2 linked regions of the Drosophila melanogaster genome follow. Changing the gene in region 2 together with the main gene of any one other region gives a genetic interaction. Each region holds a gene or a part of one and is shown on either strand. Other genes may lie near its edges. The genes, in order: pip and Vml.

The links.
Region 1: of Vml (region 2) and pip, changing one enhances a phenotype caused by changing the other (phenotypic enhancement), as found in Drosophila melanogaster (one study listed by BioGRID).

What each region holds. Positions count from the first base shown.
Region 1 is NT_037436.4:19,334,392-19,339,549, forward strand, and holds the start of pip (pipe), read right to left. Parts: upstream 3,219-5,158; 5' UTR 3,040-3,218; coding exon 2,951-3,039; intron 1-2,950. UniProt on the Drosophila melanogaster protein: Sulfotransferase involved in dorsoventral axis patterning in early embryos.
Region 2 is NC_004354.4:2,274,165-2,278,595, forward strand, and holds Vml (vitelline membrane-like), read left to right. Parts: upstream 1-1,657; 5' UTR 1,658-1,808; coding exon 1,809-3,545; 3' UTR 3,546-3,617; downstream 3,618-4,431. Other genes in the region: Grp170 co-chaperone, read right to left, coding at 1-172. UniProt on the Drosophila melanogaster protein: Major early eggshell protein secreted by folicle cells into the perivitelline space and incorporated into the vitelline membrane. Localized sulfation by pip may be involved in embryo dorsal-ventral axis determination.

The sequences.
Region 1 (5,158 bases), on a different chromosome or scaffold from region 2:
AGCGGAAAAAAGCTCGTAAGGCCCAACTCACTTGTTTCATTCTTTTTTAATAATATTTTCCTAAATATTTGTAAACCATAAAAAAGAAAGTCGTGTATTTAACCCTACAGCTATAAATTCGTTTGTTTCTTAGTGTGTGAAGAAAAACATTTTAATTGCCGTTTTAAAACATAAAATTTAGCACATATATATGTTTTTGTTAATAATTATTTTTTAATTTGCCACCCGCCGCAGACAGACAGCAATAATTAACTTTCCCGCGGGCCACCGGCAGCGTGTAAAATTCCCAATATGCATCATTTCCATTGCAGAAAGACAGGCAAAATAAAACAAAACGGCATGCAAAACTCGAAAGAAAATGAAGAAAAGAAAAACAAATCACATCACTGAATATAATTACCAAAGAGTAAGTGACTGCATGTCGTGGCGCCCAGAGAAAGAAAGAAACTGGCAAGAAAGAGAAGAATTGCTGAGAAAGGCGCACAGAAGAAAGACTTGAAGACTTGTAGACTCGGCAGCGAAGAGCCAGCTACAGTCTTTTCAAGCGCGGCTTGAGTCTTCGCCCTCTTTCTTTTGGGGCGTTCTAAATAATTTCTGTCACGCTTCGGCTTGCAGTGAAAATAAGAGTGAGTTTTGTTTTTTGTATTAGGTAAACCCTAATCCAAATGGAAAGCAAATCAGAAACGTAATTTATGCTAATTCGAAAGAAATTATTGCATAACTGCACTTCATTCCACTCATTGAGCGTATAATTGTCTTTTTTGACTTTTCAAATCGATTCGAATCGATTCCGACTGATTTTTCTCAACTGGGTGCAACGAACTCATTTTCTACGTATGCTCATTTATCGCGTGTCCGGATAATGAAGCTGCCAAACATCTGTCGCCGAGTTATTTAAGCAAAACCAATTAATTTCATTAATTAATATCAATTTGAGAGCGTACAAAAGAATTGTGCAAATAACGACGTAAGTGTACGCAGCAATATGGCTGGGAATTTATGTATTTATGTTTCTCTGCAGGACAATTCGTATCTGTTGTGATAAATCATATCCATATTCAAATATTTGCACTATTTTGTTGTGCAAATGGCAAGATTACTCGTTTCACTAAGTCGCCTGGCCATCGGAAATGGATAAAAAATAAATGTTTACCTGATTGATTGGCAGACTGACTGAGTGGCCAACTGATTGACTGAGAGTTTGCAGCTGCATGAAATTGTCAAAATGAGCGTAAAATTTATGCTCCAGCCAGCGGTAACCACAGAAAGTATCACACATATCTACATTTAAGCCATGTGTTTAATTAATGCCAGTAATTCATACATTTAATGTAATAATTTGTTCTGCAAATAAACGGGAAATGGGCCTCGCTTCGCGAAAATTAACGAGGGCTTTATAGGAAAAAAGGATATCTAGCAGGGACTCAATAAGTGGGAAAATGTTTAAATAAAATATAAAACATATGTATGTCGTTGATCCAATTTGCCATTAGCTTGAGCTAAGATCTCACAGTTATACGCAAATAGCTGTGAGCCATGACTTCACCACGTTTTGCCTTAATGAAAAGCAAATTCTCACACCCTTTTAAAAAGTCAACAAAAACGGTAAGAAATAGTTTCCCAAAAGCCAATTAGCCCATAACATGTGTAGTCGGTATATCATTAGTTTACATCTCGACGCACTCGTTGCAACAAATTTGGCCATACAAACGGAAAAAAGAGCGAATCTTTCACAATAGCGGACGCAGTGGCTCAGTTCTCTGGCCTAAACACCTTTTAATAGCCAAAATTGTTATGGGCGGCCGCAGAAACCGCCGGCCGTCGACCATCGACCATCGACTAATGAGCGGGCAGTCAAGTTGGGGGGCTCTTAACTTTTATCTGAGCTGACTTGGCCCGAACTGAGCCGAGTTGGGTTCTGTAAAAGGCCAGAACAAACACCGAAAAATGCAGGCCCACACAATGCAGTGGTAGGATGGTGGTAAGACACGGCTCTTTTGGCTACTTGAAATAGTTGAAGTGAGCTCGGCTTTTGTGGTTTTCCTCCTCTTCATCTGCCGCCCCGAGGTGCTACACCAAATGAATTATGAGAAGAATTGAAAATGAAAAACGCAATAAAAAATAGAAACAAGATTGTAGCTTTTAACTGGAGCAGAGATTGAAAAAACGACAGACGCAAGTGCACAGAGAAAAGTTTATGAAACATTTAAAATTAAATGTTGAAGTACAGTGTTTACAAAGCTTTAATACTTGCTTTTAATAAGTCTTCAAAATATAAGAAAACATTTTCAAAGTATAAATAATAAATACAAAAAAAATAAAAGGATAAATAATAGACCCCTTTTTGTATATATAAATTTTTGAAAATATTTTCAATTGATACAGTACTTGGAAGCTCATATCAGCATTCGTAACAATTTTTCATAGCTTAATTAAAAGTACTCAATCAATTTTTTAAAATAAAGTTCTTAAAGCTCGTCGATCTACATAAACCCATCTAAGTCGATGAGATTCATATTAAATTTAAGATCAAAAATATCTATTTCTTCTAGTGTAGCTGCAATTAATTTACTGGCTGGCACTACTTAAAGTCCGTCAAGAATGTTCGAACTGCTCTGGCCAGCAATTGGAGTTTTTATTTAATTTTATTTATCAAATACAACGACCCTGAAACACTATCACTTTTAGCCAGATGCGAAAAACGGAAAGTTAAGCGCTTTTTATGGAGAATCGAGAGCAGAGTATTTTTAATCTTTAGCGCTGCGGCAAACGCAATCTTCGATCTACCAACTCGATTTCGATTCTCTGGCCATTCAATGGCAATTATGACCGGTTTTCAATTTAACTGAAACTGGAACTCAATTGCATTTCCCCTTTGAAACGAACACCGTTCTCGAGTGAAAGAAATCTTTTCTCCGCCGCCTTTTTCTCGGCTGAAGACCACACTTACCGCTTGGGATACGGTATGCGCCGGTATTTGAAGGCATTTTCCACATCGCGCAGTTTCATTTTGTACGATCGCTCGGCGTTCAGAGACATCCAATGTCAATTACACAAAAAACACAATCGCTTGAGATCTTAGTTCTCGAAGACCTTTCTTGGCCGAAAGAATTTTCCGGTCGGCACTTGGGTTCACTTGAGTTCCGATTCACGATTCGAAGACTTAGAGATATAGACGTCCGTAGAGCTCGGCGATCGCGGCTTGACTGAATGTTCCTGGGGGCACTTGGCCGCCTTTTTGGCCAACTTTAAGACGTTGGCAGCGGCGGCTTACCACTGTTTGCTTTTACCATTTTCTTCGACTCTCTTTGGCTCTGTTTATTCGCTCTTTTGATCGCTCTTTGTTCGCTGGCTGACTGATTTCGTGGGGACGTGACTGTAGCCCATTTGTCTGTGGCAACATTTTTATTATTACCCCACATCTGACATTAATCTACTTAGACATATTTATTTAGGTCGTCCAAACAGCGAAGTGTCTTTATTCTCTGCGCAAGGAATCGAATTTCGGGCACTTGTTTCAATATCCTTTATTGGATCAGCTGGTTTACCGACCTTAATGGTAATTTGTTCGGTTGAATAGAACATATTGCGTGTGATCCAAACCACGTTGGCAAAAATAAGAACTTTAGTTTTTTCTATTTCTTCATAGAGGAAGGGAGAATTAGAATTAAAAACAGGTTTACCTTTGAACCCATCCCCCCCAATGGACAGTCGAAAAGTTGACCTTCCCGCTTTTGTAATTTCCATCGATTAGTTTTGGCCATTCGTACATATATAAGCGATTCTTCTCGATGTCTGTCTTCTCGCCTCGTTCGTTAGCCAAACTTCGGGATCTAAGCTTAATTTTTGCCAAACTCAAATCTATAGTTTCTACAAGAGTTGGATTCCGCGATCTCCCCACTTGCTGTCCACAAAGCTAAGCTCATTGACCCTTATTCAACAGTTGACTCTTATGGCACAGTGCCTCAAAGAAATCTTTTTTCCGATTAAATTAGAACATTTAAAAATTAAATTGAGGTACGAATTTTTAATTTACGAGAATTAATACTAGATTTCAATATATTTATACCTTTACTCTTTTATTTAAGTGTGTCTTATCATATATTACTTTAAATTATCTTTTTCAGGTACCTTAACTTTTAACTCTCACTGTAACTGACTTGTCCACTAACTGGCGTCAGACGGCTGTCGAATTTAAGCGTTTACCCATAACTATCTGCATAGGTCCACATTTTTAGGACCGACAAAAAACTGATTGTTTAGTCTTATTAAACTTTTTTTATTTCAGCAACAAGTTGAAAATTCGTGTAAATTTCTCGATAACAATTGCAAAAAAATGGAAAAACGCCAGCCTCAACATAAAAACAGCCAAAACATAAAAGTAAAATTAAAACGAAATGCGTTGGCGGCACATGTCTTGTGTTTATCTGGTAATAATTAAAGGTATTTCAGCATTTGGTACCAAGAAAGTGAGTAGCTAAAAACTTGTAAAGTTGCTGCCTATTGCATTGATGACTGTCCAAATCGACTGAGATAATTGAGCTATCTGAATGATCAGACTCTTTCTCCGATTTCGAAACTTAAAAGCCGACGAGTTGTTAGGCTGTCGGTTTTCGGGTTAAGTTTATCAGCTGTCCAATTGTGGTCGCTCACAATATGTTGGCTATATCTTCGGTCCGATGCCATGGTTTTTTGCTGCCAACTGTCCCTTTGTGGCTGTGCCGATTGCGCTGAGCTGGCCAACTCGATTGTAAACAACTGCAATTGGCCCTAGGTGCAAACACAAATAGCTGATTGTGTGAGTTTGTGGCAGGTGTGCGTATATATTATATTTGGCCAATACTCGGCAGTGTATTTTATGCAGCGAGGTTTTCCATGTTAATTGGTTGGCATGTTTAATACATCCGCTTAAATATATAAAAGAAATTTAAAATCGTATTCGGTAAATAAATTTATTATTTACACAAATTCTAAATTAATATATTATATGTATATGTTATATGTAAGTGCGTACGATAAATAAATAATTTCATCAATTTGCATTAATCTAGAGTGAATACTTTTAGTAGATATATGTATTATATGTATATTAATGACCACGGCATAAAAAGAACTGCAAAATTATTAACTTTAATAGCCAGATATTTAAATGTGTTAA
Region 2 (4,431 bases):
TCGCGGGCGTCTTGCGCTTGGACTCGCGATTCAGGGCGATTTCCATAGGCACTCCAGGCGACACAACGCCCACTTTCATCCACTCGCTGCCCAGATCCACGGACATCACGGCGGCTCCCTGGGAAAGGGCAATCCCCGCCAGCAGGGCGCTCAAAAGGAGCACGAGTTTCATGGTCTGTGCGGTTGAAAGGTGTTCAAATTAAAGCATTGTGCACAGGATTAGATACCCCATTAAGTACTCCATATGTATTTACCCTCTGCATTGTAAGATCTTTCTAGAAAGACCAACGATTTAACTTAAAAGGCTAACATTATACAAAAATTCACCAACTACTTTTACCTATATTTCTTAGCTGCATTAATAACACAAGAATTAGTTGGGTTTTCAACAGTTTTAACAGATAATTTGTGGGACGAAAAGTACGTCTGGCTTATGCGAGGAAACCTGTGTTCATGTGGCAGCGGAAATAGTGTTTAACTCGTACATAGATCTATATAGTTTACCGGTGAAATTACTGGGGAGAAATGGCTTTTAAAAAGTCTTCACGGAAAATCAGTGAAGAGAGCATTAACCTTTTACTTCCACAATTCTTCCGCGATTCTTTCACTTCTTTTTTTTTGCAACGCAAGCAGCTGTCTGCGCCCCGTCACCCTCCCTCTGCCTATCCTAACTCTTCCATCCTTCCAGCCAAGTACCGCTTTCCACTTACGTGTCCCGTTTCGTTCGTCGCTTCCAGCTGTCCTTTGCCACTCGCACTCTCCAATCGACTTTTATTCAGAAGTCACCTATTTATTAATTATTCAATTCACAACGTCGACTGCTATTCGAGTTGTTAAGTAAAAAACAGAGTCGCCGCGATTAAGAAGAACAAGCAGCGGCACACGAAGAAGAAGAGGAAAACGTTGACGTGTTGATTCGACCGGGCGATAGCAATCGATAAAACAATCGAGAGACTGTCACTTGGGAAGGCAGGCGCTGCCACATCGCACTGAAGTGACCGCCACAATTTAAATACTTATTGTGTGCAATTAAATTCTTTTTGTACAAAATTTCGTGATTAATTGCAAAACACCAAATGAAAACCATACACTAAATGATTATGACCCTTACTTGGTTTAAGGTCAATGTAAGAGCAGGAAGATTTTTCCTACTCATTGAAAATCTGAAGTTATAACATATGTAGTTGGCAATTCCAAGTTTTTTTCTTTCAGGCAGCAAGTCAACCCACATATTGATAGCTCAGCATTCCCGCGATGACCGAATTTTTGAACGAAAGTGCTGACACGTTATTAAACTATACTTTGTATACTCTTTTTCTTGAGATTATTGACACGATGAGTAAGTTATATTACAATTCGATAGAATAAAAATTAACTAAAATTAAATCACCTAACACGCTTAACGTTAAATTTGTTGTAATGCGAATTGTCCTGAAAAAATTACAAAACCCAAACTAGATAACAATTCTTTTTTTCAACAATTATCTTTAAATTAAAATTGAATAGGTTCCAACTTCCAAACGTATAGGGTATTGAAAGAGTTAAATTAAGTTTTCTGCTCGCATCGCCAACTCACCTATTCACGTTAAAAAGAAATAGGTGACTGGAAAACGATCGAATCTAGCGAATTTAAATGGAATCGCTTCAAATGCAGAATAGCACAAAGTGAACCCACCGAGTATCCAAGCACAGCAGACTGCAATTGGGCAATATTCTTGGTGAATTTGTAAATTTCGCTGATCTGTTTTTCTCTTGGCCATATAAAACCCGTCCCGTTTCAAAAAACCATAGTCTTAATTCTGTGAGCTATGTGTGGACGACGACTGCTGTTCTTGGCGGCCTTTGGCTGCCTTTTGGCCAACGCGTTTTCGCTTCCGGCGACCAGGAATGAGGAGTTCGACGACGGTTTCCCCGAATCCGAGTTCGACTACGAGGAGAGGCACACTAGGGAAATTCCGGCACAGGCCTATGCCCCACCGATCGTTTACAATTCGCAGTCAAGCTACTCGCCGGCGAAGGACCAAGGATATTCTGCTCCTGCCGCCCCGGTTTATTCGCCTGCCGCACCATCGTATTCAGCGCCTGCTGCTCCGTCGTATTCGGCACCCGCTGCACCCAGCTATTCAGCACCAGCAGCACCCAGCTATTCAGCACCTGCTGCTCCATCGTATTCAGCGCCTGCAGCACCCAGCTATTCAGCACCTGCATCCTCCAGCTATTCAGCGCCTGCTGCTCCGTCGTATTCGGCACCCGCTGCACCCAGCTATTCAGCGCCTGCAGCACCCAGCTATTCAGCACCTGCATCCTCCAGCTATTCAGCGCCTGCTGCTCCGTCGTATTCGGCACCCGCTGCACCCAGCTACTCAGCGCCTGCGGCACCCAGCTATTCAGCACCAGCAGCACCCAGCTATTCAGCACCTGCTGCTCCATCGTATTCAGCACCCGCAGCACCCAGCTACTCTGCGCCTTCTGCCCCATCGTATTCAGCGCAAAAGACATCCTCGTACTCGGCTCCTGCCGCCCCAAGCTACCATGCTCCGGCAGCTCCAGCATCGTCGTATTCAGCACCGGCTGGTCCTTCATATTCGGCTCCTGCTGCACCCTCATATTCAGCTCCATCTTACTCAGCGCCTGCCTCAAGTTATTCGGCACTCAAGGCTCCATCTTATTCAGCTCCAGCCGCTCCATCTTACTCCGCACCTGCAGCTCCCTCATATTCCTCTTCTGCTTCTCCTTCATATTCATCGCCTGCATCGTCATCTTATTCAGCGCCAGCTGCTCCGACTTACTCAGCCCCTAAGGCTCAGTCGTACTCCGCTCCAGCCGCTCCATCTTACTCAGCTCCTGCTGCTCCATCTTACTCAGCTCCTGCATCTTCATCTTATTCGGCACCTGCTGCTCCATCTTACTCAGCTCCGGCTGCTCCATCTTACTCAGCTCCTGCTGCTCCATCTTACTCAGCTCCAGCATCTTCATCTTATTCGGCACCTGCTGCTCCATCTTACTCAGCTCCTGCTGCTCCATCTTACTCAGCTCCTGCATCTTCATCTTATTCGGCACCTGCTGCTCCATCTTACTCAGCTCCGGCTGCTCCATCTTACTCAGCTCCTGCTGCTCCATCTTACTCAGCTCCTGCCGCTCCATCGTATTCAGCACCTGCATCATCTGGATATTCAGCAGCGCGAGCGTATTCAGCGGGCTCTGCAGCACCAGCTTCTGGCTATTCAGCGCCAAAGACTTCTTCCGGTTACTCAGCGCCTGCTTCGTCTGGATCACCAGCTGCTTCATCGTACTCAGCTCCTGCATCCTCGACCGCATCCTCTGGCTATTCAGCGCCCGCGTCGAAGTCATCGGGTTACGCTCGCTCCGAAATGGATCATCAGATCCTTGGTATGGCGAGGACCGCTGGCGGCTACGGATCAGCCGCTCCTTCTGCAGCTTATGGTGCAGCCTCTCTCCCCTCACCGCCGTGTCCCAAAAACTATGTGTTCAGCTGCTCGAGCGTTTTTACTCCAGCACCGTGCAGTCAGGGATATGGTTACTGAATGCAAATCCAAAGCTCCTGGCCAAACTGACTTGAAAACGAGATTAATAAAAAGCGAATTATGTGTGAAACGAATTGAGTTTACCTTTTTATGCCAAACAACTTAGGTCACAGAGATATTTCGACCCACGCAGTCCATTGAGATATGCAAGCTTTTGATCCCGAAAACAGCTTAAAGGTATTAAAAACCCGTGTTTGATTGACCGTTGAAGTTTCAAATCGACTTGGAATGGCGTTTTCTTTTCTTTTTTTCTTTTTTCTTTTGAGTTCTATATCCCAGTTTTATATATTCTTTAGTGAAATACAGGAACAAATCGTTAATGCTTTTCTTAGAATTTATTTGCAAATTGTTCACTTATGATGACCATCGCTAATGAATTATCACACTAAAAGCAACTCATAATAAATACAATACGTACATCTAGGCTCTGTATAATTAGATCATATGTTTGTCATTTGTCATTCAAATACAATTTTACTTGTCCTCACATTGTGAGTGGTAATTTCTCTGTTGCGGTCTATATATTCCATTAAAAAGCACTTATGTATCCTTAACTCCTCTACATGTATGTATATACTAAATATATGTATATATATATATATATATATATATAGAAACTCTATGAAGTTAAATCATTTGGAACATTCAAATCAAAAACGAAAGTGGAAAGCGGTGTTTTCCAACTTGCCGACTACACGATTCATTGATCGGAAATCAAGCTTATATAGAGTTGTATATATGTATGTATGTATGCATGTATGCATGTATGTATGTGTATGTGCTAAAGAGACTGGTCCATAGAGTAAGAGGTATTATTCAGTTGGCAAATCATAAGTGGCCCATTTTGAGTACCTCAAAAGTTCCTTCCTGTTCCCCCAATTCTTTC